2 linked regions of the Tamandua tetradactyla genome follow. The main gene of each other region encodes a partner of the protein of the gene in region 2 in a complex. Links are inferred from orthologs where the notes say so. Each region holds a gene or a part of one and is shown on either strand. Other genes may lie near its edges. The genes, in order: BMP7 and NOG.

Region 1 (15,567 bases), on a different chromosome or scaffold from region 2:
AGTGCAGTTAAGGTGTGGCCCAGCTAAATCAGGTGGGGCTTTAATCCCAGTTACTGGTGTCCTTCATAAACAGAAGGAAAAATCAGATGGAGAAAGAAGCCATGGAGAGCATGGCAAGAAGCCGGAAGTCAATGGAACGCAGAAGAGAAAGGAGAAGATGCCGCCGTGTTCATTGCCATGTGAGGGAAAACCCAAGGACCAAGGCTCGTTGGCAGCCAGCCCCAAAACACCACAGTCTCCTGGGAGAAAGCATCACCTTGCTGACACCTTGATTTTGGACTTTTCCTAGCCTCAAACCTGTAAGCCAATACATTCCCATTGTTTAAGCCAATCCATTGTTTGGTATTTGTTTTATCAGCTGGGAAAACTAAAACAGTGACCACTGATGATAATGTTTGAGTGTTTCTTTCTTCCACCCAACACAGACATGCTTTATAGCACTCATCTCTAGTGATGGTCCAGGCAGAGAGAGTTGGTCGGCTCACACATGCCCTGAACTTGGGGTGAAAGTGGCATTTAGGGTTTGTGTCACTAGGACTGAGTTGTCTGGGGGGCATGAACCCTTGAGAAAGGGAAACCGCACTTGAACACTTGGCCCTTCTTGTCTGCATACTACTGCACAGGTTGTTTTGTCACCTGATGTCTCCAGGGACACTGGGCCATATGATGACTCCTACCCCCCACCCCAGGCAGAGCTCTGAGGCATGCCCACCATCAATCAGTGATTTATGTTTGGGACATATACTAAAAATTAGTCATTGTTTATTTGAAATTCAAATTTAAATGGGTGTCATGTATTTTTAGGTGCTAAATCTGGCAGTTGTACTCGGTGGCCAGTCATCCTGTGAACTGGCTTTAGGAGAGGGACCTGGTTGGAAAACTAGGGAGGTAAGAATCATGCCACCCCAGGTGTGAATGCTGGCTCTGGCATTCATTTGCTGTGTGGCCTTGGCCAAGTTCTTTAACCCCTGTGCCTCTGTATCTTCATCTGTGAAATGGGAGTTATAGCATCTCATTTCAGGATTGTGAGAAGATTGGAGATAATCTGAAAAGCGCTTGACTCAGTGCTTGACACAAGATAGCTGCATCATTAAAGCCAACTCTTATTATCCTTTGTGTCATTTAAAATGAGCTCAAATATGCTAATCTTCTCAAATGACCTTTCACTGCATGAGTCAGGACTAACCTATTTGGAGTGAGGGGTTTACCTAGGAGGAGGCAATAAAGATAAAAACCGAAGTAGAAGGGATAATTAGGACAATTGAAAAAAAAAACAAAAGAATTAGGAGAAACACATGGAGGCAGGGGAGAGAAGAAAGAGAAAGGAGGGCTGGACAAGAGCACAGTGATGTAGTAATGAGCTCCTGGGGCCTTGGGAGCTGAATTCTAATCTCAGCTCCGTCCTGACATACTGTAAGGCTTTTGGCTCACACTTCCCCTCTGGGTCTCAACTCCCCTGTCTTCAAAATGAAGGAACAGAACACACCTCTGCAGCACTTTGGTTGTAACAGAAAACTCAGAGCACCGTGGCGGGAACTATAAAACACCTTTTTCAACTCATGTAACTAAAAAGTCCTGGGAGAGAGCTAGTGTGTGGGACATCCGTACACTAAAAATTATTCGATGTTTATCTGAAATTCAAATTTAACAGGGCATCCTAATCTCTATTTTTATTTGCTAAATGTGGCCGTCCTAGCCCCTCTCTGGCCATTATTTCACCAGAGCAGCTTCACATCTGTATTCCGTAATGGGCATCAGTGAAATGCTTGCCTTGACCAAAAGTTTCAGCTTTTATCCATTATCTCCCAGGGCCCTTTCCAGCAACTTGATGCTGTATCCTGCAGGGTTGGTAGCAGCAGAAACCATCTCGTGCTAACTGGCGCAGAAAAGGAGTCCACCAGAGGACCTCGGGGGGCTCATGGAACTCCCAGGAATGCTAGAGTGCCAGGATTAAGGCACCCTGGTAGGGAACGTGGCTCCAAATTGCTCTGCAGCATGGTCTAGGCACGTGCGCAGGGCGGCTGAGGCGGATGCCTCTGATTGGCTGAGACGGACGCCTCTGATTGGCTGAGACGTGGTCACATGCCAACGCTCCGGTTGCAAAGCAGGCTGGGGCCGTGCAGTTCCAGGTGGTCGCGGGTGGGCTGTGCTTCAGAAGACCGCAAATTCCCAAACATAAGAGGGGTGCATATGCAGCTGGGTGGGTAGAGGAAAGGCACTGAGAAGGGAGATCAATGGACACCCGGCTCCTAGAGAAGAAATTTTGTTTTTTGATTTTTCTGGGAGAATTTTTCGGAGCGAGTGTTTCAGATCAATTAGCAAGGACAAAGAGCTGCAGTGCCAGTGGGAAGGGAACTGTGGAGAGGGTCAGGATCAGATGCTGCTGCAGGGGTGGGCAGGTTTCACCTTGCCATCAGCCACCATGAGCTCCTTGAAGAGAGAAGCAGATGGGCAGGTGTCGCTGTGCTGCCTTGAAATGCACCATCCTCAGTGTCCTTTGGTTGCTGGTGGGGACCCTAGATATATTCTCCAAACCTAGAAGGGCCCTTTGTGAGGCTAAGGGCCAACTGGACTCAGAGGGTAGATTTGTCCTCTTTGGTCTAATGGTTTAAAAAAAAAAAAAGGAATTAGTTGTCATCAAATAAGCAATGAGAGTCGTTACATGAAAACCCAGATTTCCAGTTTCTCTTTAACAATGAGTCTGTCTTGTAACATTGGAATCCAATTCCTGGGTGTCAGCATCCACGGGAATGTGATCTCCAGCTCACCCCAGGCCGCACCCCTCCCTATTGCCTCTTGGCCGGTGTCCTTTGCCATTTGTCATCCGGACTGTGTTCATGGTTTCCTTTGGTGGAATTGGGGGAAAGTGAGTATTCCTTGGGCCTCGCATCATGGGCATTGCATCTCTATTTATGTTACCAGGCTGGACCCTGCAGGTATCTAGTGTGGGACTTCTGCTACAAAGGGGGACCTGAAGAAGAGCTCAGAGATGCCTAGGCATTCATGGATTACTGTTAGGGCACCCACTGTACGCAAGACCTCTACCAGCACGGGGAGGTAGGAGCAGGACTGACAACCCCCCCACCCCCCCCACCACCATTTCATTGTGCCCCTGTGTTTAAGGACCCAGGTCTGTACCTGAAGCCTGCATTAGAACGCTGATTTCACTGCATGTTGCCCGCTACGTGGCCTGGGGCAGGCTCTGTCGAGTATTGAGCCTCGATGTCCTCATCTATAAAATGGGGACCATAATAATGAGTATCTTAGAGGAGAGTTGTGAGGAGTAAGGAGTTAATAAAAAGCCCCTGGAATAGTAGCTGACATGTTTGTTTCCATTTTAAGTTTCAGATTATTTTCAGCTGTGACTTCAGTAGTTTAGAGCCCTGCTACTCAACTCGCCAAAGCTAGACAAGCAGCCTCAGCAGCCCCTGGGAACTGGTTATGAATGCAGACTCCCAGGGCCTGCTCAGCCTGGCAGAAGGGGATTCCCAGGAGATTCATGCATATAGGCAGTTTGGAGACGTGCTGCTTTAGGGTAAAGCTCTGCTCTCAGATCACAGAGCAAGCCAGAGTGTTTAAGAGCCTGGGCTGTACAGAAAAATGTGGCTTTGGATCCTGTTTGGTTACGGATTAGCTGTGTGCCTTTGGGCAAGTAGCTTTACCTCTCAGAATCTTAGTCTCCTTTGTGGTCTGAGAAGCATAACAGGCCCCTCTAGATTGGAAGATCCCATGGGCTAAGGCAGCAGGGCCTAGCAGATGCTTGGCAAAAGGTCAACATTTCAGAAATGTTGGCCGCTGTTATTCACATTTTGGAAGGTCAGTCCTCTCTCTCCAAAGCTGGACCAAGGATAGTAAATGCTCAAAATCAAACCAGGCTTCCCCCAATGGAGGAAGAATTAAGAGTCGTGATAATAGCAGACAGTGCTGCAGCTTCCCCCGAGCTGTGTTTGAGAACTGGTCTGGAAACCATGCCTCGGGCATCTGCTTTCTTTGGAGTGTGTGTGTGTGTGTTTTCCCTTTGGAACTGTGGCCACTGCCAGGTGTACTTAAGACTGACAGAAGATGTTTAGTCTCTTACTCCTGTTTTTTATTTTTTTGCTTGTGTAAAGAAAACTCCTGAGTGATTAAGCAGAAGGAGCCTGAACCTCCAGTGAATTGTGCATGAAAAGCAAAATCACATTACAGGTGTGTTAAAATAATTTCTTCTCCAGAGTAGATCTCTTTGCACCCACGAGTTTAAAAACCCATGCAAAAGGAATCTCTTGGACTCCTATTCTCTGCTGGGGCCTGAGGTCCCAGGTAGTCGGGTCTTGGCCAGGTGGGGTGGACAGAGGGAGCAGCCCCTGGGTCTCCCTCGGCTGTCCTGGGTGCCCCCAGGCTGGCTGAGCTTCCTCCAGGCAGATGGTGTGAGAGCTGCACAGAAGAGGAGGTCCGTACCTTGGCTGAACAATGTGCACGTCAGCAGAATTCTTTTCTTCGTTTTATTGCCTTTGAGACATATGCTGACTGGGTCAAAACGGCTTCAGCAAGATGTGACTGATGATGTATGAAATGAAAACTCCTTGTCCGGCGCTGGGAGGCCTGCAAACTAGGGGTGTGGACACTGTGCTGGCAGGGCGGCTGGCCAGACTCAATAGCGCCCTCAGCTGCCAGGCCGTCTGTCATCCTGCTGAAGCCCCAGGTGTGGGCCAGGCCGGGGCCGATCAGATTACGGCCCCAGGAGTCCAGCGTGGGGTGCCCTGGCTTGGAGACCCACAACGGGGTGGGGGGTGGGGGGTGCGGGGGGGTGGGGGCTGGCTGCCGGGGTAACAAGATAGGCCCCAGGGAAGGTCCTGGGCCCCTGGTGGCATGGGGGCTGGGGGACAGCGGGAGGATCGGAATGCAGATTATCCTTTCATCTCCAGCCCTCTCCTTTGCGCTCTCAAGCTTCCATTCTCTTGCTGGCGTTCTTGATCTCTCCAAGTCAGGATAAATTCGCTTTTCTTTGCTTGGCCAGGAAGTAGATGTTCATGAAAAGTTTCCTTGTTGTTGTTTTTAAAACTTTTGGAGGCTCTCATGCTAACATATTTTCCTTTTCATCCAGATGGCAACTGACATTTATCAGGCGTTTTCTCTGTGTCCCCAGGCGCCATTCAAAGCCCTTTACGGGAATTAAATTCTGAATCCTTGCAGCAGCCCCAGGAGGCAGGCACTCTCAGTAGCCCATTTTCCAGGTGGGGGAACTGAGGTCCAGAGGAGTGGAGACCCTTGCCCTTGTCATGCAGATGGGAAGCGGCAGCCCAGGGTGTCCACAACTCCTGCCACCACCTGAGACCCTCTAAATGGTCTCACAGCTTTTAGCTCCCAAGCCAGCATCGGAGGCAGTTCCAGCCCAGACATTGCCTGCATGTTTGCATTCATTCATTCATTCATTTACTCCTTCCTTCATTTGTTTGGCAAGCATTAATTGAGGGCCTGGCTCAACCCTGGGACTCCTTTAGGGGAGAAAGCAGGGAAAATAAAGAGCCGCCCCCTCCCCCAGCAGGGAAAGATAAGGTTAAATAGGGGGATCTTGGGAGTTCAGAGGGGACCTTATCTTTTCCTATTGGAAGTGCCTCATGAAGGGGCTCATTCTGCATTGATTGTCACTGGACAGCTGTCACTGGACAGCTATTTACTGAGCAAATGCTGGGTGTCAGGCTCAGGATGAGCTCAGAGGAGATGCAAAGAGAGGGGCAAGTCCTTGCTTCAAGGATTTCCAGCGGCAGAGAGGAGCCTGGAGGAGATGCTGACAATCCTGTACCAGTCCTTATTTGTGCTCCTGTGTAAATCCGCAGCACCCATACCTGCCCTCCTCTCCAGGCTCATTTGCTTGTAAAACAACACCCCTCCCCACCCCTCACCCCGCCAAAACAAAAAGCTTTGCGAAATGCTTAAAAAAGCAGAGACAGTGTGGGGAGCCACTGTGATTCTCATTTGCATTTTACCTCCTGGAAGAAAGGGCTGCCTTCATCTTCACTGGCCTCTGAGGTAGCAGGTATAGCCGCTTCGCCCCTGGCGAGCCAGCATGGGGGTGCATGGGTGGTGGTGGTGGTGGAACCCTTTCCCGGTCCCCAGGGCTTGGGCATTCGCTGTCCCTCTGCCTGGCTCAGGTCAACGACAACTCCTCCCTCACCACCTTACCTTGTTTATTTCCTCTGTCGCTTATCCTGAGCTGAAAGGAGCAGGTTGTTGAGTTGTGCACTCTGCCTCTGGTGGAACCTCGAGGCCACCGGCACTCTCTGACTTCCCATCACCCCCGTGGTAGCCACCCCCTCCACAATGCTCTCAGCCCACCTGTCCTCCCTCCTCACCCTCCTCCGCCTGCCTTCCAGCTGCCCAGGGTGCCAGAGAGGAAGGATGGACATGGGCTGCCTCCTCTCCCTCCCCTCCCCAGCCAAGCCTGATTTAAGGTGCCAGGTTTGCTGCCCCTGACCTGAAAGCCAGTTCCTTGACAGTGGCCACCTCACGGGCTCCTGCTGTACCCCCTGTTAGCACAATGTCAGGCCATGGGATTGCCACGTTGGGGGGCCCAGTGCAAGATGAAAATGCGGGGCCCTTGTTCATGGAATATTAAGAAATTCAAGATGGCGACAAGGGAGCATTAAACAAGTGTGGGCCTTTCTGAGCACCAGCCCTGGGGAGACTCACGGGCTGTACTCTGACCCTGTTCGGTGACCAGGAAGTGCTCAGGAGTGAAGGGCTGATGGGCAGTTCAAGGGGCCCCAATCCTAGGTAAGGGGCTCAGGCCTGGGGGCTATTTGACATACCCTTCCTCCTCACTGAGCCTCTGGCCTCTTCTCTCAACCCATGTGACCCCCTTACTCCAGCCTCTTGTCTGAAAGCCCCAAAGAGAGATCGGGAAGGCTGTAAGCAGAACTGTCTCTGCTGGAGAATACTGGAAAAGACCAGCTTGGCCAAGTTCCCCTTCATCAGCCTTCCTGCTGCAGGGAGGACCAGCCCTTCGGGCCTAGCCAGACCCTTCAAAAGTAAATCCCCTGCCCCAAACCTAGCCTTCCACCTTACCGCGTTGGATGACTCTCCATCTAGCCCACCCAACGGGAGTCACCACTTTGTATGCTTGCCTCCTCGGGGTAGAACCAGAAAGGAAGGAGGCAAGATTTGAAGTTCAACTCACGGTGCTCCCTGCTGCTCACGGTGAGGTGTTCTTCTGCTCCCACTTTTACAGAGGAGGAAACTGGGGCTCTGGGGAGCAGAAATTCACATATGGTCCAATAGCTGGCAGAGGGGACCCATAGGTTCTGAGCTGTCTGGCTCAGTTATGTTTGTGGGGAGAATGAATGAGGGAAGGTGTGGGGAGGGCAGAAAGGAGGCAAGGAGGAGCTGGCAGGTGAGGTCTCAGATAAACTAGGTGCCAAGGCAAGCTGCCTGCCCCCACACACGGTCAGGGTGGAGAACTGCGGGGGAATGTCAGAGAGTGGATGGCTGTTCTGGGGAGTTGGAAATAAATGGAGCCCAAAAGAGGAGGAGAGGGGAGGAGTTACTCCAATTTCATCTACTCATTCAACAAGTATTGCTTGGGCAGGGCAGTGGCTACCAGGTGTTGGATTTAAGGGCCTAGGGAGACGAGAGCAACCTTATGGGGAGACACACTAAAGAATTCTCCGCAAGATAAAATAATCATGTGTAAGAGTGAGGGGGCAAGCCACCTTAGCTGCCCTGGTCTGGGAAGCGCTCTGGGAGAAGGTGACAGCCAGGTAGACTGTCCAAGCACCGGGTATGGAAAGGGAAGTGAGGGGGTAGTGGAGAGTTTGAGGCAGAGGGAATTGCAAGTGCAGAAACAAGTTGGAGACAAAGTTGGGGGGAGGCGCAGCAGGGTGAGCATGGCTGCAGGGCAGAAAGCTGGAGGGCAGAGGGACAAGATGGGCTCTTGTGACACCTCCTCTGCGACTTCTCCTCTGATTCCCGCGCCTGCTCAGAGCTTCATCCATTATATCCCGGATTCCAGGGTCCCGCTCGGGCCTCCTTTCCATCCCGACTGTAAGTCCCGGGAGGGCAGGGCCGTCTCGGATTCCTCCCTTCGAAGCCCCGCGGCGCCCGACCCGGTGCTGGACACCCTGTGGGCACTCGGTAAATATTTGTCGAGCGCGCTAAAAGGGATGAATGAACCCATTGGGCGCAGTTGGGGGGAGGGCGGGGCCGAGGGCAGGTGGGAGGCCGCCGGCGCGGGAGGGCCCCTGGAAGTCCGTCCTCCTCCTCCTCCTCCTCCTCCTCCCAGGCCCCAACGCGTACCACTCTGGGGCTCCCGAGGCGGCCTCTCGTGCGATCAGGGACGCACAGGGCTGGGAAAGCGATCCGTGAGCCCTGCTTTCCGCGCCGGAGGTCGGAAGAGAGTGGGTCGCGGCCGCCGGAGGGCGAGAGCGCCGGAGGAGCGGGAGGAAGGAGCGCTCGCTCGCCAGCTGCCTCGCTGCCTCCCCGGCGCCTGCTCTCGCCGGCTGGGAGGTTGGCTGGCTGCTCCTCCCACCCGCGCCAGCCTCTTCGCTAGCTTGCTGGTTGGAGCTGGTTTCCAAGCCCCGCGGTGCGCCCGGGGGACTGCGGGGCGAGGGGCCCCAGGGCCAGCGCCGAGCCGGGGGCGGGGGTCCGGGCAGAGCGCAGCCGGCCGGGGAGGGGCCATGTCCGGCGCGGGCGCGGCGGGGCCCGTCTGCAGCAAGTGACCGATCGGCGTGGACAGCTGCCTGCCCCTCTCCGCCACCTGGGGCGGCGCGGGCCCGGGTGCCGGGAGCCGGGTGCCCGGGCGGCGCGGAGAGCCGGCGCGATGCACGTGCGCTCGCTGCGCGCCGCGGCGCCCCCCAGCTTCGTGGCGCTCTGGGCGCCCCTGTTTCTACTGCGCTCCGCCCTGGCCGACTTCAGCCTGGACAACGAGGTGCACTCGAGTTTCATCCACCGGCGCCTCCGCAGCCAGGAGCGGCGGGAGATGCAGCGCGAGATTCTCTCCATCTTGGGCTTACCCCACCGCCCGCGCCCGCACCTCCAGGGCAAGCACAACTCGGCGCCCATGTTCATGCTGGACCTGTACAATGCCATGGCGGTGGAGGAGGGCGGCGGGCCCGACGGCCAGGGCTTCTCCTATCCCTACAAGGCTGTCTTCAGTACCCAGGGCCCCCCTCTGGCCAGCCTTCAAGACAGCCACTTCCTCACCGATGCCGACATGGTGATGAGCTTCGTCAACCTCGGTGAGTGAGGGCGGGCGGGAGGGGTGCGCGTCTTGGGCCGGGCGCCGCAGGACAAGGAGGGGGCCGCCCCTTATGTTCAGTCCGCCCACCTCTCCACTCCCGGAGGTTTGCCAAGCCGCCGGTGCCTGCCTGGTCGAGAGTCCCCCAACCCCCAGCCCAAGTGGACCCCAAGCTGAGCGCGGCCCCAGGTAGCGTGAGCCGGGCTCGGCTGGCCTGTTGCTGTTATTGGGAGGGAGGGAGCCGCCTGAAGCCCCCTTGGGGTACGACGCGGGCCGCACCTCTAGTGTTGGAGGCGCCGGGCCCGGCCGCGGTTCAGTTCAAAGCGCGGGGCTCGGTCATGTGAGCTGCCCGCGCTACCTGAATTTAAAGAGTCTTTCTAGTGAAACCGCCTTCCCGCCCTTCTTCGGTGCCGCTCAGCCCTGCCCAGCCCTGTCACCGCGGCCGTCGCGGCCCCTTCCCGCCTTGGCGAGCCCCACCTGTCCCCTCGCTGGGCCGCCCGCCGGAGCGTGCTGCGCGCCCCGGGCGCCCCGGAGCCCCTCTCCCCGGGCACCCCCCTCTCTCCCGGCTCTACCCGCCGGAACTGGGGAAGAAACGTTGCCGTTGCGAGCTTTCTATTTTAAAATATTTAATGATAGGTCCCGGGCGGGTAGAATCCATTTTCAGCTTTTATCACGTGTGGCGCGCCAACCACCGGTTTGGGCGATTGGGTGGCGCGGGATCTCTGAGCAGACGCCACCGGGGGCGGCTGGGGGACCCGGATCCCGACGGTAGCCGCGATGACACCGGCGACGGAAAGCTGGGGCTTCGGCGGGGGCCCCGTGGCTCCCCTCGGTAGGGGCTGCGTACATTCTCCAGACTTGCGCAAACTAACCCCCGACAGCGCACTGTGGGGCGGAAGACCAAATATTTGATCTCAGAGATAAAGCACCCCGATAGCGCCGTTTCCCCAGCCGCTTTTATTCTACTTGCTGCGAAAATCCGAACCGAGTCAAGACAGCAAACTTCCACCCACGGGCTCTGTGTCAACATCGAAATAATGACCCTAAATCCCCACGTCGGGTACCTGGGGAGTGGATGGGGGTGGGGGAAAGCAGGGATCGGGTTTAATGCTTCCCGCCCCAGGTACCCTGGACGCCATTGTCTGTCTTAAATGATAACCAAACATCAACTAGTGAAATGCGCTTTGGCGAGCAAGGGGTGGGAGATTTAGATGCCCAGGTAAGTTCAAGAAAACTTTGAGTTTTATTAGCAGCCTGGTAGGAGGGAGGCAGCTGCACAGTCCGGATTTAGAAACTAACCAAGGTATATGAGGTGGAAAACAGCAAGGTGCAGGAATCAGTGAGTCTGCGTGTGTGTTTGGGTATCATCCCTGCCCTTCCTTCTGCAGGAAGACACCATGACAAACTGCAAATAGATTTAGTGAGGTGGAGGCAGAAGTGGGGCTGGGGCTTACCGGTGGTAGAGGGGGTTCTGATTTTTCACTCTCTGTCTGCACTTTGATCTGTGGCCTTTTTTTTTTTTTTACAGTGTGTATTTATTACCTGTAGCAAATCTAAAGAAAAATTATAAAAATGGAAAAGTAGACGTGGAGCTTCTGTTCTTTCCTGAAGTGGGGGTGGGGTGGGGGTGGGGCAGGGTTAAACCAGGACCCTTTCTCTGGCTGAGGATCCAAACCTCTTCCCTTCTGTTGGTTCAGATGGGTTCCCAGCACTGAATGAAGCAGGTCCCACCTGCAGCCTTGGGAGCCTGGCTGGGGTCGTTAAAAAGGCATTTGTAAGCCCTGGCTTCTGTAGAAGGCTCTGCAGACTCAGTCCAAAAAGTGCCCCATGCTTGTAGATTGGCAGTGTGGCTGAACCCCGGGCTACCACCCCCTTCCCACACCCCATCCCAGAGGAGTGAGTGCCTCTGGGTAGCTGGGGTAGGGCTGTTTGCTTCCCCCTGCTGTGGAGGTGGGGGTGGTGGGGGCGGTGGGAACGAGTTGGGACTCGTTTGGGAAGGCCCCAGTTGGGTGGTTTTCCTCCTGTGGGTGTACACACACCTTTCAACGCCGTTAGCCCTGTTTCTTTCATCTTGCGAGGACAAAGACCAGCTTGTCTGAGCCTCTTCATCAGCTGGCCTGGCTCTGGGCTCCGTGGGACAGTCCTGACTTTCTCAGGTCTAACTTTGTGGAACATCACTCCGAATTAGATGGTGGAGTGGCTATTAACAGGGCACGCTGAGCTTGTTTTTTCTCTCTCTCTTTCCTAAAACGAAAGGCACTTCATTAGATGAAGACCTGGAGTACAGTTTGGCAAAACTCTTCCTGTAGAGCCTTCTAGGGCTGGCCTTTAATTTCTGCTCAGCAACAACACATGCATAAAATGTCTGCCCCTTCTATTCTGCCTTGGCTCTGGAATTTCTCCGTAGGAGGGGTGGTGGTAATGGGGCTGGAGGGGAAGGGGGCAAGTAGGGCACTTGTCCTGCAGCTGAGTTTACTGAGAAAGCACACTGTCCCCTTGGCCTGTAGATCCTATCCATCCGTAATATACAAACTTTTCAAAAGGTACGTTCAGTCACACTTTCCGTTAAGAGTGAGAAAATGTCACTTGTCCATATCAAACCACTGCTCGCTACATTCAGGAAACTTTGAGGGCCCAACTGATGGAGACCTTGGTGGCAGAGGGGTAGGCTGACCTCTTGCATGCTCTGTCTGTCCTATGTGGGCGCGGGGGGACGTCAGCCTGGACACTGAAGGCTTTTGCAGACCTCGTGCATTTAATTTTTTTCTCTGTCTGCAGCCAAACTAGTTTTTGTTCCTATAAGTCGTTCTGTTCGGAATTCAAGCTTTTTGCCAGGCTGAGCGAGATCTCAACGAGAGGGGAGCTAGAGGGGAATTTACTACAAAACCAGGCACTGGGAACGAGGACTTCAGACCACACCTATGACAAAGGCCAGCCTGTGTCACGGGACCCCTGTAAGCCTCGCTTAATTGTGGGAGTGGGCTCACATCCTCCCAGCCTGGGCCCCTGAAGTTCAATGGTGGGATTTGTAAACTGGTTTGGATTAACAAGTCCCCAACTCCTCTGTGTAGACTTAATTTTGGAATTCAAAATTCAGTGACAGCCTTCCACTATTGTTCCTTTGGAAAAATTCAGCAGCTCCCTTTGGAATCTTCTAAAGAAGGCAACTGGCAGTAGGAATGTACAATTAGAGTTTATCTCTGGTCCACATTACAGAGGAACCAAACTGGTTTACTCTTGGAAGCCGAAGTACAAGAAGAGAGAGTTGGAAATCCGTCATTTTTAGAGCCAGCATCTATAAGTGGCTTTTGTTAATAGGAGCTGAAGAGCGAGGAGGAGGCCGTGCAGTTTGAGTTGTACTTCATACCATCTGGCAATCCTTTTTGTTGACAAGTGTTTGGCATTAAGAGCTTTCCTTTTGCCCCTTAAGAACAGGCTCTACCACTGTAGAGTATTAGAAAAAGATTCTGTTACAGTTTAAAAATTTCCTTCAGGGAGTGCTTTGCGAAGGCAGCATGAGCTACAGGCATTTGCAGCTGTAACCTGGCTTGTGTTAAAATTTGGAAGGGGCGGTTCCACATTCCAGCGCCCCGGCACTGAATGCGGCCTCACTGGTGAGCAGCCAAAGGTTAATATAGATGTCACACAGGCTTTCCCCCTTCTTTCTTGCTTTCTACAGAGCGCCTTCGCTATAGGAGTGCACCGACAGCTGTGTTTTTAGTAACCCTTTCAAAATCACTTCTTTTAAACCTCATTTTCCTGCTTATATAAATCAAAAGATTTCCCCCTCTTTTCCCAAGGATGTGTGACCCCAATGTGAACTTTTTTGATCTTCTATGTAATTCCCTTCTGGAATCAAAGCAGGTTAAAATGGAGCCCTGGATGCCAGCTTGGGTGGCTTTTTTTTGTTTGTTTTTATTCCAGGATTGTCCTTCGGAAGGGGTAAGGGAGGTGGCTCAGATAAAAATAGGGTATGGGCAGCAAAGGACCAATCCTCTGAGTTTCCAGAGAGAAGAAATTGTTTCTGCGCTGCAGACCTTGCAAGCGGCAGTTCAGGGCCTGGTGCGTAGTAGGCCCTCAAACTTTTGCTGAGACGTACACAGCTGGTGGGCTATCCCCCATGGCTGGAATGCCTGCGATATGAGCGAATATCACATGTCCGCCGAACCCAAGACAAGTGATGACTTCATCCCAGGGAGAGTCCTTCTCATTGATTGATCACCCCCTATTGCTTTAATTTCTTTCTTTTTTTCTTTCCTATTTGGTAAGATCATGTTTGGCTCATTGCAAGAAGCCCTAGCCCTCCCCTGCTCCACCCATCCCCAGTCTCTGCATCCACTTAACTGGCTGAATATTTTGAATGGAGGACCCTTTGTGCCAAGCGGCAGGCCACCTTAGTTTTTTTCCGCGGCCACTTTTCAGACCTCTAGTGGGGCTTGTTGACATGCTCATTTTTGGCAGGCTGTTGCAACGCTTCGTCTTAATATACTCTGGCAGTGTCACCGGGGTTAGGGCGAAGCCAAGGATGTGTGGAACCTGTCATGTTATTGTCAGAAGGTATGCGAGGATTAGCTTTTACAAAGCGGTGGTGGGAGAGCCCTGCAGCTGTGTACACTTATTATAAAAGATTTAAGTCCCACTGGTAAAATCAATATATTGAATTGCATGACCCTCTGCTTTTAATTAGTTTAAATCAAATGTGCTGGTGCCATTTTGCCTCCTCTCACCTTCCTGGGGTGAGGAAATACCAATATTTACACAGAGACTGCTAATTTGTCATGAAAATGATAACACATTTAGCTTTACGCCCCCAAATTGCTCCCCCTTGATGGATCCAGGCTCAGTCCAGAGCTGAGAGGTGACATCACCAAGGGACAACATCAGGGTTGTCTGTTGCTTGGAGTCTGGGTGCCAGGAAACAGGTGGGCATTTCATCAGGCTGGGTGGCTGAGGATGCAGGTCTTTTGAGAACTCTCTGCTGTTTTCATTCACAAGACAGAAATACCAAGATTCACCTATGTCTTCTAAATCCTAAGCAGTCCTACAGAATCGCTAACCAGGCACTTGATTTCTTGGCTGTTTTTTTGAGTCTTTTCTCCCAGCACACTCGGTCTTTTACACTGGGCGGCTCAGGGCACGGCACTTTATTTATTGCAGAGCTTCAGATGCTTTTCTTTCCAATTCATGAAGCAGTTCGCAGAGAAAGGGGGGTTCTTTCATTGCAGATAATTCTGGGGACGATCATAGCTATTATACGAGTCGTTCGCTATTAACTGTGTGCTCAGCTGCGATTGAATTCCGGGTTTTGCAGCAAATGGCATCTGACAAATAATATCTGACAAAAATGTGATGTGGTATTTCTTCATATGGAACAGATATTTCATAGTTAACTTTCCCTGGCGAAAAATTGCTCGAACCCGAAGCGAACCAGGCAATGCGGATGCAGACCAGGGCTGCCTGTGTGTTTTTTGCCCGTCCAGAGTGGGGGGTGGGGTGGTTTATGATCTGGGAGGACATGAGCAGCACATGACGTTTGACATACACTGTGTGCGCCTCAGAGTAGCGTGTGCGGTGCCGTGCTTTCAGCCTTTGGCTTCAGAAGGCATTGTTGGGAGCGGCACAAAGCCATCGCTGATCCGCGTGGAGTGGATTGAATTAATGACAACTCGGAGAGTACCAGTTTTAGGGTAATTGCTTTATTGTTTGGGAGCCAGGGCGCTTATAATCCGGTTCCTGTACAAACATGTTTAACGTGTGTTAATGCGTTTCCAAACCAGAGCCTCTCAGCACAACCCTGCTTTTCATTAATTGATGTCGGTAGCATGGTACAGTATTTCAAAGGGCTGGCCAAGTATAAACTGTGTTTCCAATTTCCTTCCTTTCCTGTGTTTGGAATGCCAATGTTAATTTGTTCCCATGCATGAGCGGGGGCTGCCAACCGCGGCTTTATATAAAGGGCTTCACAGTGAAGGCTTCCAGCCCTCACTGATGCTCGGGGTTGCCTGGCCAAGTTTCCTGACACTTTGCAGCTAATTCTGGGTGATATATGGAGTGGGGGGTTGAGGGGTTTCATGGCCCTGCAACGGAAGTTCTTGGTGACAGCAGAGGGTGTGACTTGGCGAGGGAGTCTGGAACCGGCATTCACGGTGATTCTTTTTAAGACACAGTTTAAGCCCACATGTCAGCTTCGTTGCATATTAGCTGTGTGACCTTGAGCAAGTTGCTTGACATCTCTGAGTTTGTTGCCTCATTTTTTAAAAGGAGGGCAAGAGCCCCATGAAGATGCAATCATATGGCACACAGGCAGTGCCTGGCACATGGTGGGCATGCAATAAGTGATAGCCCTTGTTTTTATG
Region 2 (13,611 bases):
ATTAAATGGCATTGATGCTTCTCACGTATGGACTATATGGAGTCTGGGCCACAGCATGGTCCTCCTTAACTAATCTTCTGGCTGCTGCTGTTCCACCAGCAATCCAGGCTGGCCACTGGCACCAAACTCAACTTGAAAATGAAGCATCTTTTCATTTTTATGTTCTGGGCATACATGAAGGAACCTGGCCTATAGAAGTGCTTGTGGTCAATTAAAGATGGCCCTAAATTCTTTGCCCCTCCTTCCATGGAGAGGCAATGTCAATTTTCTTCCCTTTGAACTTGGGCTAGTCTTATGGCTTGTTTGATCAATAGACTGCAGCAAAAGTGGTATTTTTGGATTTTCATAAGAAGCCTTGCAACTTCCGCCTTGTCCTCTTGGAACACTTTCTCTTAGAGCCCCATGTAGGAAGTCCAAATACCCTAAGGCCATCAGGCTGTGAGAAAACACAAGCCACATGGCGAAGCCACTTGTAGGGAGGGATTGGCTGGTCAACCTGCCAGTTCAGCTCTGAGCTGACAGCCAGCATCACAGCAGATACTGGAAGCCATTTTCAAAGTGAATCTTCTGGCTCTCAGCTGACCCCATGTATATCACAGATGAAGTGCCCAGCTGAGCCCTTCCAAATTCCTGACCCACAGACTCATGGACAAAATTAAATGATTGTTTTAAGGAAGTTAGTTTTGGAATAGCTTGTTACCCACTTAGAGTTTATGAGACCAGAGCTCAAAAAATGTTTGTTGAATGAATAAAGAATTCTTTTTGTAGTAGGGCTCTAATGGTGTCCCTGCCCTACTCAAGAGTTCTCAGTGATTTCCCATTGTCTTAGAAATAGTTTAGTGTCCTTAGTTGGCATTCAAGGCCCTCCATAATTTGGTTTCAGCCTGCATTTTCAGAACTCATCACCTGCTCTCATTCCGAATGATTCCTTCCTATACTAAAGCTTGTTTGCACTGTTTCCCAAAAGACACCCAATACTTTTCCAAGACTATTCCTTTACTTATAGAATAAGAATCTAAACGCCCTTTCCTCCTACTACATCTCTCCTGTAGTAGGTTGACATTGAACTTGATTTTCAAGACTTTAGTCAACTGCCTTCTTGGGTTGTCCAGTCCAGCAGTGAGCCCTCCTCTTTCTAGCCTAGGTTTGGTGGATGGTGCATTTAACTCCTCTATCATCACTTACGCTGGTTGTTCTTTTCTTACCTCCTCTACTACACTGCCAACTCCTTGTGTGGGGGGTGGGTGGGGAAGGGGGTCCCGTGATTCATTTCTGCAACTCAGCACTAGCACAATACCTAGCACATAATACCGTGTACAAACAAGTTTCATGGCTTACCGGGCGTGCATCCCTAGAGATCTTCAGACTTGCCAGCACATAATGTGGCATACATTGTGATTCCCAAGCCAGGCGTTCAAGTCCGTGAAGGGAAGAAGAGTCTTCAGAAGAAGCAAGGGCTTTGCAGTCAGCTCAGATTTTGAGCCATAAAGCCACTTCCTGTGTGCCTTTGGGGGCAAGATGCTTAGACTCCCTGAGATCCGTTTTCCATATCTGGAAACTGGAGATCCTGAATGGGAATGTATAAAGGCACAATGCTGGGCCCCTTGCAAGCTATTACTAAGTACGTATTTGCTGAATGGATACAACAGAATGGCTGATCATTTGGCTGTTGATCATTTGTTGATACGTTAACTCTGGGAGGACTCTACCCCCACCAAAAAGAAAAGAAGGAAGGAAGGAAAGAAGGCGGGAAGAAGGGAAGGTAGGAGGAAAGGAGGGGACTGTGAGGCCCAATAGAGAGGCCACCTGGCCTATAAGCACTGTGTGATGCTCTGTGATCTTCAGCAAGGGGCTGCTGTGGTCTCAGTCTTCTTATCTGTAAATTGAGCGGTGGGCACTGGAATCTAAGCTCCCCTCCAGCTCTGACATTCCAAGAGCATTAAAAAGAAGGGATGAATCACCCCCTCAAAATACCAATATGAGCTGGGCCCTCCCCCTGCTGTCCCCATCAAGCACAGCTAAGAGCTCTTAATACGCAGCCAGCTTCCTCCTGCAGCTGCCACCAAACTTCAACCCCCTTTCCCAGGAGTCTCAGAAGCAAGACTGATAATAGACCCCTGGCCTTCACCATCTCAACAGGGAACCAGATCCCATTCCCAGACTCAACTGGACAGAGGGCCCTCCCCAAAGAGGGCTGGTTTTTCTGTGGACCTTTAGCCATAGTTCACCTCTGTGTGGAGTGGGGGGTGGGGGGCGGGGGTGGAGGTCCTTGGAAGGGTGGAAGGAAGAAAAGGGAAGAGGTGAAAATAGAGGTTGAATGAGTGAATTCTTGCAATCATAGGGAAGGGATGGGGTGGTGGAAGCCTTGTCATTCTCTTCCAGAATTTTTTATTTTTATGTTGATGTGTATGTACCTAATCGTTATAAATTCCCATTCTCTGGGGAAGGCCTCCCAGCAGCTGCATAAGTTCATAGATACAAGCTGTCAAAGCCACAGAAGACACCAAGATCAATTTCCTTCCTTTTAGGAGATAGACTCTAGACCGCAGAGGGCAGCTTTCTTGCCTCTCTGCCCAGAGTTCTCTCTTCTTTTCCGCGTTGATGCTATTATTAGTATTATCAGCCTTAATAATAAAGGAAACGCAATTGGCTGAGCGTTAGTCACAGTGTCTCAGGACCAGCACCTCCTTCGTCCCCTTCTGGGACCGCCTGGGTCCTGCTCCGTCCTCTCTCGGCGCCCGGAGCCGCCGTGGGCCTGCCCTTTGGGTCTGTCCGACCGGTGGTCTGTCCATCGCGCGTCACGTCTGCAGCCCGGGTCCTCCCGACGCACACTGGGTCCTGCTCTGAAAGCCGAGAAGCTCGCCGGCTGCGAGAGGGTTTTCCAAGTGGGCAGGGGTGGGGAGGAGGGGCGCGGGCGGGCGGAGGGAGGAGGGGGCGCCGCGGAGGGGAAGACCTCGCATTGTAATCCAATGACATTGCCAACGTGGGGGTGGGGGAGCTGGCCTCGGCGCGCTCTCCGAGTTTTGGCTGCCGGCCCAGCTAGGAATAACTCTCTTCGCATAATTCGCGTGTTTACCAGGCATGAAAATTCTTGCTTTCGGCTCCCCCCCCCCCACTCCCCGTAAGCCCCCTCCCCGTCTCCCCTCCCCACCACCTCCGCCCCTCGCAAGTGAAACTCTGTCTAAAAAAATATTGGCCCGGGGCACAGAAAGTTTTGCATAAATTCATAAGTGATGAATGGCTGATTTTAACGTTATTTGGGTATTTGTCAGAACTTAACAAATATACATGGGGACGGCGGTTCATAAACTTAAACATCTCAATATCCCCTTTCTTCTGGAAATAAATTACGTTTGTTTGCCCGGCTTGGAGTCTTAAGGTAGCCGACATTAGGAATATTTTAAAAGCCATCATCCATCGAGCATGTCTCCCAGGCGCCAGGAAGATTAAATGAAAGAATCATAAGATGGAGGTCTTTAACTTTTAATCCTTTTACAATGAAGCCTCAGATAGTCGCGGGGGCAGGGTGCCCTCTCTGGGGGGAATAATGCCGTTATTCCTCGGCTCTCAGTTAATGAATACCCTAACGTCTGTCCCACGGCTGACGGAGGCAGCGCCGGGGAGGGGGCTCGGGCTCCCGGGCCAGGCTATTGAAACGAGGAGCCACCGAGGCTGCGTCGGAAGGGAAGAAAGCGCCCGGCTGGAGGGACAGGGCGGGCGGGGCCGGGGGCATTGAGACTGCGCTGCGGACCGGGCGCAGGTTTGAAATAATTAGCATAGATTCGCCGGGAGTCCGGCCTGGGCAGGGGGTGGGGGACAGGAGGGAGGCGCGGGGAGGTGGCAGGGGGGTGGGGGAGGGAGCAAAGGAGAGCGACTTTGGAGTCCAAGATAAATAAAGGGAGCGCGGAGCAGTGTCAGAAAGCCGGCCCACGTGGAGCTGCGCGGATGGGCGCCACCGCGGACTGACGCCGAGGGACGCACGCGAGAGTCAAGCGCCCGCCTCCGAAAGTTGGCTTGTTGAGGGGTGGGGTGGGGGTGATACTTTGCAGGTCCCTTCAAGGGGTAGCATGTCTCCCGCCCCCAACTAACCCTAAAGCTCAAAGATGCCGATTCTTATTCCTCCCCTTTGCCCACCCACAAACGGAGTAAGTGTCCAGAGCAGGGGCGCACCCCCTCCCCAGCAGCGGATCCCAAGCAGACGTTTTTCATGCAAATTCAGCCCCTTAGGAAACCTCCGCCCACAGAGCCCTCCTAAGGTCCCGGTGTGGGGTGGGGTGTGGGGGGGCGGTGAGTGTCAAATCTCAAGCTACTCCCAGCACCTCCGGCCCAGGGTCTGGGATTTCGGGGGCTGGGACCTGCAAGATGCCGGAGGCTGTGTGAGTGTCGATTCCAAGGGATCGCCTCAGCGCTCACCTCCTTAGCTTCCGGTCGTAAAAAGGGTTAACCCGGGCTGGATATCAAGGTGGGGGGTGCGAGGCCGGAGAGGTGGCGGGACCTGGGTGGGCGCGCTCTGATCCACTACCCCCCCCATTCCTCGGGGGTCAAGTTTCAGCGGCACTCCGCCCCCAGGGTAGGTGTGAAAGACACGTGTCCCCATTGTGAAGGGCCTGTCAGGCAGGACAAAGCGGCCGCCCACCCTACCCCCCCCCCCCCCGCCTCTCGTCCCAGCCTGGGGTCAGCTCCAGGGGGCCGGCTGGGTGTCGAGGTCACGTCAGGCCCAAGCTTTGGTGACATGGGGGGGAAAAGCTGGGAGACTGGGCGCAGGCCACGTGATGCTCAAGTGAGAGGTTTGAGAACAACCTCCCTCCTCCCCCTCCCGCCTCTGAGCAACTCAGCGGCCACCTCCATCAGGCCAGAGGAGGGGAGTCGGACGGGATGAGCCCCTTCTCCCAACAGGCGTTGGCACAGCGGCACCCCCACCCCGCCCCCCTCTTCCCATCAATCACCAACACAGAGAATCGCAGTGTAGAGCGCAGTCGGTTTTAGTGGTTTTCTTTAATCCTGCTCTGCACTTCTCATTTACTACACGGGATATTATAAAGAATAAATAGCAGATACTCTTAATTTACAATGATTAGTCATTCCATTTGTTCTCTATATTTACAATAACTGTAAAATAACATTGAACTCTATAGCTTCTTCGAGGTCCAAGGAAAACCAAAACACTTTCCGAAGAATGGAAAATAGCTTTTAAAAAGTCCTTCTACAAAAGTTTCTCACTCTCTTTGTACTTTAAGAAAAAAATAACTTTTCCCCCCTGCTTCGCCATGCGAAGGGCAATGAAATATAAATAGCAGGTTAACATTATTAGCAACAACCAGAATAAGTCTCTTTGCTCTGATCTTTTTTTCCTTTTGCTTATTATTATTTTTTTAAAAATACAGTAGAAGCCGGTAACTTTTAACGTATAATACTGACCTTTTAATAAGTAAATTAAAACTGGGACCGTATATACACACACACATATACATTCCTACACAGTTAAACAGTGCATTACATGAACCAGAAAGCTAGGTCTCTGTAGCCAAAAAAAAAAAAAAAAAAAAAGTTCATTGAATCCACTCGCGAGAGGATGGTGGAACTGGTTGGAGGAGGTGGCGGGGGGGGGGGGGGGGGGGCGTCGGTGGGGATCGATCAAGTGTCCGGGTGCGGGCAGGGGGCCCCCGAGTTCTAGCACGAGCATTTGCACTCGGAAATGATGGGGTACTGGATGGGAATCCAGCCGCAGCGCTGGCCTCCGCGCCGCTGACAGCGCCACCGCAGCACGGTGAGGTGCACGGACTTGGACGGCTTGCACACCATGCCCTCGGGCACCGAGCACGAGCGCTTGCTGAAGCAGCTGCCCACCTTCACGTAGCGCGGCCAAAAGCGGCTGCCCAGGTCGTTCCACGCGTACAGCACCGGGCAGAAGGTCTGCGACCACAGCCACATCTGTAACTTCCTCCGCAGCTTCTTGCTTAGGCGCTGCTTCTTGCCCGGGGCCAAGCCCTCGGAGAACTCCAATCCTTTGATCTCGCTCGGCATGGCCCCCGACGGCCGCTGCCGCAGCAGCTGGTCCAGCTCCGCCAGGTCCTCGGCGCCCCCGGCCGCCCCCACGCCCCCGCCGGGCCGGTCCTCGGGGGGCGAGGTGGCCATGAAGCCCGGGTCGTAGTGGCCACCGAGCAGGGAGCGCAGCAGCGTCTCGTTCAAATCCTTTTCCTTGGGGTCAAAGATAGGGTCCGGGTGTTCGATGAGGTCCACCAGGGGCAGGTTGTCGCTGGGAGCCGGGCGGATGTGGAGGTAGTGCTGGCCGCCGGCCGGTGCCGCCCGCAGCCCCAGGACCACCACCAGGGCGTAGAGGGTGACCCCCAGGCTGGGGCAGCGCTCCATGCCTCCGGCGCGCGCCCGGGGCTGCTGCTTCGTCCCGCGTCCCCGGAGGAGAGCACGCCGAGCCCGCGGCGCCTCCGCCGCGCTCCCCTGTCTGTCCGGAGGTGGCTTACCCGAGGCTGGGCAGGCGCAGGGCGGGCAGCATGAGCCGCTGGGAGAGCCCTTCGCGCAGCGTCGGCTTCCACCCGGGCGGAAAAAAGGCACACAAGTTGGCTGCAACTCCTCTCTCCGGTCTATTCGGGAAGGCGGCCGCGGCAGGGCATCCGAAATTACTCCAGGGCGACCGCGGGGCGCTGGGGGCGCCGACTCCTTGCTGCTTTCCCCAGCCGGCGGCGGCGTAGGGCGCGTGGACGAGCCGCTCTCCCCTCCTCCTCCTCTTGCTCCTCGTCCTGCCGCTCTGTGCAGCGCCGCTGGCCGAGCGGGTCCCGGGGGCACTTCCCTCCGCCTGCTCCGGGCTCCGTAGCCGGCTTTGCCCAGCGGACTCCAGCAGCGGCGGCGGCGGCGGCGGCGGCGGCGTCCGCTCACGTTGGCACCGGTTTGTCTGTCTCGCAGGGTCCAAGCCTTTAAATTTCCTGCACTTTCAGCTCCATCACCATGGAAACCACTGACTCTCTGGGCTTTGCCCCCTCCCCCTCCTTCCCCCCAAACAACAACCCCACCCCCCACTTCTCCACCCCCGAGGAGCTGGAGCCGCACAGGCTCAGGGGGAAGCCGCCTGCATTCGCCGTGGAGGCGGCGGCGGCGGCTTCGGCAGCGCCCAGGGCTGTGCCCCGCCGGACCCAGATGCCCCGGGAAGCCGACAGTCCGACTGCTCGCCCCAGCTCACAGGCGGCGGCGGCGGCGGCGGCGGTGGCGGCGGCGGCGGCGGCGGCGGCGGCAACGGCGGCGGCGGCGGTGGCGCTTGGCAGGTCTCCGCGCAATTTTCTCTCTCCCCCACCACCCACCCCCCTTCTCCTCCTCCTCCTCCTGCAAAATGCACCGCCCCCCTCCTTTCTCCTGGAGCAATGCAACTGGGGCTCTAGGCGCCCCGCCAGGGCCAGTTCTGGGGAGAGCTCGCGGTGGCGCTGGAGCCGGGCTGGAGGGTGCAGGGCCGGTTTGGGGGTTGGGGGAAAGACTCGAGATGGGGCATGGAGGGCTCTTCATTAGCTGGGTGCTTTGCACTGGGAGGGGAGCAGCGGAGAGGTGCCGGGGACTCGTTTGTCCGTGCGATTCCGAGCAAGGAATTTCTCCATGTGCACTAAGCGTTTTCCCCGGGAGCTTCTCGCCTTCCTCTCTCCCGGGCTCGGTCTCTTGACCCCTCCCCCAACGCGCGCGCGCGCGCGCGTACACACACACACACACACACACACACACACACACACGCACACGGTGTGCGTCTCCCCTCCCCAACACACACACACATATATGGTGTGCGTCTCCCCTCCCCAACACACACACACACACACACACACACTCTCTCTCTCTCTCTCTCTCTCTCTCTCTCTCGCTCTCTCTCTCTCGCTCTCTCGCTCTCTCGCTCTCTCTGGCTCTCTCTGTGCCCGGGGAGTAGTGAGCCGTAGCATTGCCTAGCGTAATGTAGTAATGTAATTCATAGGAAAGGCTTCTGCCTGTCTGCAGCCCCCCCAACCCCCCGCCCGGGTCCAAGAAGGGGGTCGGCTCCTCACCCTCCTCCACCTCTTCCTTGGCCAGGTTCTGCGCCCCGAATGGCCGAGTCACAGGGGTGCGTCCGCTCGCTTGCGGCTCCCCTGGCCCACTGGGGATCGCGCGGCAGCCGCTCGGCTCCCTGGTGGCGGCGCGCCCTCTGCTGGCCCCCGGCTAGCCCTGCACCTGGCTCAGGCGCGGGCGGCCTTAGGAGGTGAGCTGTCAGACGACCGCGCTGCCCAGCTCAGTTTCTGCTTCTGTGTCCTTGTCATTTCTTGTGTTTGTGTTTCTGCGTGTATTGATGGGTCCTTTCTGGTTCTCTCGAAGCTCTCCAAGACCTTCAGCGTAAACAAACTTTCTGAGATTCCTCCCCACGCCCCTCACATTTCACACAGATCTCTTGCACACCTCTGCCTCCGCTAAACCGGCCCGGTGGAAAATAGTGGGAACCAGAAACTTAAAAGATGCACTGACAAGAGGGGGGCCTGAATCCCGGCTGGGGTTCACCCTGACATAACTATGTTAACCTTGGACAAGTCACTTTCCCCCCATATATCTTAGTTTCTGCATCAGTGAATTACCTTGCTGGGATTCTAATAAACCTGCACCATACTTTCTCTTTCAGAAACAGTTTATCTTTGGTGGAAGGTGGGTACTGAAATGATACTTGCGGTTAATTTTTCCCTTGGATGAGGATGTAGCCTTCACAACCCAAGTGGAGTTTCCTTTGTGGTGGGATGTGATTGTAGTCTGGCTAAAGCTTGAGAAAAGAGACATGAAGCGTATGATTCAAGTATTCACCAGTATTCCATGGAGTAGAAGTTTTGAGGCCCCTTTGTGGCAGCCTAAACCACTCCAATTTCTTAACTCAGGGATCTAGTTCTCCCTAACAACCTGTTCTGCCCTCCGCATACACACATACAGAAGTTTTTCTGCTGTCTAGGAAGAAAATGCACTTTGTTTCACCGAACATTCTATCTACAAAACCTCAGCTGTTGTGAGGGATGTCAGTTTTAGATGAAAATGTCTTCCTACACTGTCAAGTCTAGACAACAACTAGAATTGGTCTAGCATGGTACCTGTCAAAGGAGAGTTTGCTTTGATGAATGCTGTAGGTAAGAATAACTCATTGGTTGTTGAAATTGGATTGATTCTTAATTAATGTGTGATTTGAATCTGACACATAGTAGGATCTTAAACAATACTCCTTTTTTTCTGATATGTTTGTTTCCTCATGAAGATTAATCGCTCAGAGCAATCTTGATGATACTATGAATTAACTAAGAAAACAATTTTTTCAGTAAAAAGTTCAAAGGCAAATTTTTAGCCCCCCCTTGGTAGATTTCCATAGTGACATTTTATTGTACTGTTTTCTGTTCCATCAGTCTTCCTCTCCTCTCTTACAAATCTCTGATTTTTTTTGTTTGAAAACCAGCCCAGACCCCTTAGCCTTTTATTTAGGTTGGGTAGATTTGACTGAACAGTTAAAATTTTTTTGAAAAGCCCCCTTAAAAACAAAAAAACAAACCATGTCTGAGATTAGATTGGGCGACCTGTTTATGTTTTACAGACACACACTTGTGAAGACCATGGGGTAAAAAGACAAAGGAAAGAGGATTCACAGTGGATCTCCACCTCATTCCCAGGACGCTGATGGTCCACTCAAGGAAGATATGACGAACATATCAAGAAAACATTAAAAGAGCATGGGGGGAAAAATCCGTAAATTCCTAATAACAGTGTAGAACAGTGTCTCTTTCTTGATCAATATAGTAATTTCATGCCCTCTTTTGAATGTTGTTTGAAATTTTATAATTCCTTATGCTGTGCAAAAAGAAGTCAGAGGGATTGTAATGTTAGATACAGTGTTTTGGAACCCCACCTACCCCTCTTACGGTGGTGGTGAAACGCGACCTGGGGAGAGCCTGGAGCTCCCCACTCTGTACCACACTGCAATAGCTCATGCACTTAGGTGTGGAGGGAATAGAGGGGTGTTGGCATCAGAAACTAAGCCCTGCCAATGCCTTCATGGAAGAACTGTGCTTGAGGAAAAAAGCTACATTTGCTTGAGTAGGAAGAGGAGGAAATTTGAGATATGTGCATATATGTTATGAGTGTGCTTGAAGAGGAGGGCCACAATGTAGGAGGGGCTGCCAGAAGATCTGGGGGTCTGGGTGGTGGAGGAAGACTACATCACAGACAGTGGAATTCAACACGAAGATGACCGGTGGACCAGGTGACTCTTGGTTGGAATTCTGGCTTTGCTACTCTTATTAACATAGGCATGTCAACCATTCAAAGCTTCCGTTTCCTCATCTGTAAAATGGGGATAACACACGCTTCCCAGAATTGTGTCATTTAAAGCCTAACCTAGCACAGTGTGTGAGGCACACTATATAGTGGGCAATAAACTTTCAACACGGTTGTTCTTTGGGGAACCCCACTAGCCTCAGCGGGCCAGTCATCCTAGGTTTGAGCTGGCCAGGGCTGAAGGAGAATGGGGATGCTGTTGGAAGCAACTTGAACACCTTCAGGCCTGCTTTCCACCCACTGAACATGTGCAACTGAGCTACTGGTAGCTGCCATCCTTCAGGAGTTTGAAGGAGGGGACCTGGGATTTCTTTGGGGACTCAACAGCTGACCTATTTCAGTGCTTCTGCTGCTCTGTGAAAGAGGGAGCTTGATAAGCAGGACAAAGAGGGTTATATTTCTTCAAGATGAAGCTGTGGGGTGAGAGACGGACCAAGGGAGGTAGGACTATCAGCACAGCTTTCTGCTCAGGTTCTCACTGCGAGGAGTGTGGGACTTCAGTGGGGACTGGCTGGGGACTCGGCCTCAGCAGGCCCCATAGGGAAGAGACCAATGGATGATGCAAACATGGGCCCATGTTTGGCTCATCTCTCCAGGATGCCTGTCCTTGAAAAATGCTGGGCAAGGAAGGATGGAAGCACTCCTCTGCACAACTGCATCGATATTTACAGGTGGAAGGCCAGAGCAGCCCGATGGTGCACTGAGCATCTTATTTTCACTATTATTCTAGGAAAAGTCCAACAGTCTTCTCGTATCTTTGGCCCTGGAAACATGGATCTGAGGCAGCTGTGGGTGATGTGCAGAGGGCACGGTGTTTAATGTTAGGAAGCCTGGGGCCTGCCAGCTGTGTAACCTTGGGGGAGTCGTTTTAGTTTCCTGGCACTCCCGAATACATAACACTGTGGAGACATCAGAGTCTCTGTTCTTCCTGCCTTCGGCTGCGCTGCTGCTAACATTTGTTCCCAGACGTCCGGGGAACACAAGGCACTGTAAAGGAGGAAGCATAAAAACTGCCATCTCTTAAGTCCGCTGTCAACCCAGGCACATGAGAATCATCACCCTCAGATTCTGACTGTCTCAGATTCAACATATATGTTGAATTTCATGGACTTTCTCTTAGACTCAAAATAGCATTTCTTGGCCTGGCCCAATTGAGCAAAGTGAGGAAGAGTCAGCCAGCAGGTTTCCTTTTTTCTTCTCCTAACTGCCCCAAGAAAGGGAGAGTGGAGATGAAGTCCCTCTGATTGGGGTCCAAACGTGGTGGATTTAGCTTAGCCCCCGTGGGTGTTGGCAGGAGCCTGGCCAGATCAAGACTCACAGGGTGGGTGTAGAGACCCACTTCAGCTTCACAACACCTTATATGTTTTTTGTGTGTTCAGTGTTGATAACCTTCTAGTTAGAATTATGAAGTGTTGGGGGTTGGTGTGTGTGTGTGTTGGGTGGGTGGGGGGAAATGTGCGTGCAAAAGAGGGGACACATAAGAGGAGAGAAAGAGAGCAAAGGGAGAGGACGGAGTTCTAAAAGGTGGGCTGGGGTGGAAAATTGGTAAGTAAATGTGAAATATATTTTCCTGAACAGAGATAAACCTTAACAGCACAGGAGGAAGGGCGCTCAGGCTAGCTTTCTCAAGCCGGGCAGCCCCTTCCCTTCCTCAGTCTGGCTCCTGCTCAGCCTGCGGCCCCCTCCCCATCTGGCTCCACACTGGGGAAGGGGAGACGTCTCTGGAGCCCGGTGGCTCATTCATCTCCTGATAAACTGTTTATCTGAGTTTTAACGAGGGCGCCTCTCCTCCAGCCCTGGAGACAGAAGCCTCTGCGTGTTTAGCCGGCCCTGATGTGGGGGGCCTGGGGGTGGGTGGGGGCCGTGCCTGCGGGCAAATCTTCTCCCCTTTCCTTGCTTGCACAGGCTCTGAGCTTGGCCCTCAGACCCCAGCCTCACAGTGCATTGCCTTGGCAGAAAGCTCGGTCTAGGATGGAGTCAACGTTTTCCCACGCAGAGGAAATCCCTTTTGCCGCCGCTCTTTCTCCGTGCCACTGCCTTGAAAACTGTGTGTGTGTATTCTAAATAAATCAGCTTCGTGGACACTTACCATTTGTGACCCAGTATTTTAAAAGGCGTGAACTCCTGTGGGGATTTACATACAGCCTCCTGGCCAAACGCACAAGCCCCCCCCCCTCCACTTGAGCTCACATTTCCCCCACATCCCCTCATCCTGCTGACACAGATATTTATTGAGATAATATGGTCTAGTCACCTTTATCCCCTCAAAAGCTCAAGATAACAAGGAGACAGGAGCTCAGTGGAGTGAAAAATAAAGTGGAAAACCATTCCTGTTTCAGGTGAGTGGCATGATTCACGAGTTCCAGCTACTGAATCCATCAACACACATATTCGCACCTTGGAATTTTTTTCTCTAGCCACGACTCAGTCTCTTCACCAGCCAAGAAGGGGTGCGGCCTTGTATGGGCTGCCCTGGGGGAGGGACATCTGTGCTTTCATCTGTTCACCAGGTGTGCACCCCAACTTCAGACAAGCTGCTGTTCGAGGAGCGAGATGCAGCCTTTGCTCTTGGAGAGCTGAAAGATAACAGGAAAAAAGAAAAATAATCCTCAGATTACAATTCAGGGTGTCAGCTGCCATAGTGAAGGGTTGGGGAGAAGTGTTGGGGAGAGAAGGGGCTCAGAAAGCAATCCCCAGGAGATTGGGTTGGGTTCTGAAGAGGAATTCACAGTCCAGGAAGGAAGAGGGGGAGAGCACTGCGTAGAGGACATTTTGGGCAGGCCTGGGGAAGGGGCCGCGTCTTCCAAGTCCCGGGTACGAGTTGGCAGTACTGAGAGTTGGGGTTTGAGGGGTAGATGTCGGGAGAGCAGGAGCCTTGCACGGTGGGCCACTGAAGGACCTTGGACAACTCTGAATCCCATTTGAATTTAGACTTGGGTTTAGAAATACTTGTAAGAAACCTTAGGCATCACATCAGCATGGCAATTGCAGGCCTTAAATATTGCAGGTCAGCCCTATTATAAAAAAAACAAAACGAAACAAAATGCAACTCGATTCTGAAGTACATCAAGACTGAAACCCAGGCTTTTCAGTCCTAACACAGTTGTTTTTAACATCAATGCAACACTATCTCCTATGTGCAGAGAAAAATTCCTCAAAAGAGCAATAAGTTTATAAATCCTTATTTGTAATGGGCACCCCTAAAGAATGGGCTAAGTGCGTGGGATAAGAAGAGGGGATGAGAAGCTCACTTTTTACTTGATCGTGTATTTATGTAAATTTACTTTAAAAAGC

The links.
Region 1: the proteins of NOG (region 2) and BMP7 are in contact, whole or in part, in a crystal structure (PDB 1M4U), measured with the Homo sapiens proteins. The link is inferred for Tamandua tetradactyla from reciprocal best matches to the Homo sapiens genes NOG and BMP7. Residues at the interface, in NP_005441.1 of Homo sapiens: His29, Tyr30, Leu31, His32, Ile33, Arg34, Pro35, Ala36; in NP_001710.1 of Homo sapiens: Phe365, Pro366, Leu367, Asn368, Ser369, Asn375, Ile378, Val379.

The regions. Positions count from the first base shown.
Region 1 is NC_135327.1:28,162,613-28,178,179, forward strand, and holds the start of BMP7 (bone morphogenetic protein 7), read left to right. Parts: upstream 1-8,794; coding exon 8,795-9,212; intron 9,213-15,567. UniProt on the Homo sapiens protein: Growth factor of the TGF-beta superfamily that plays important role in various biological processes, including embryogenesis, hematopoiesis, neurogenesis and skeletal morphogenesis.
Region 2 is NC_135332.1:37,566,418-37,580,028, reverse strand, and holds NOG (noggin), read right to left. Parts: upstream 6,370-13,611; coding exon 5,671-6,369; 3' UTR 5,618-5,670; downstream 1-5,617. UniProt on the Homo sapiens protein: Inhibitor of bone morphogenetic proteins (BMP) signaling which is required for growth and patterning of the neural tube and somite. Essential for cartilage morphogenesis and joint formation.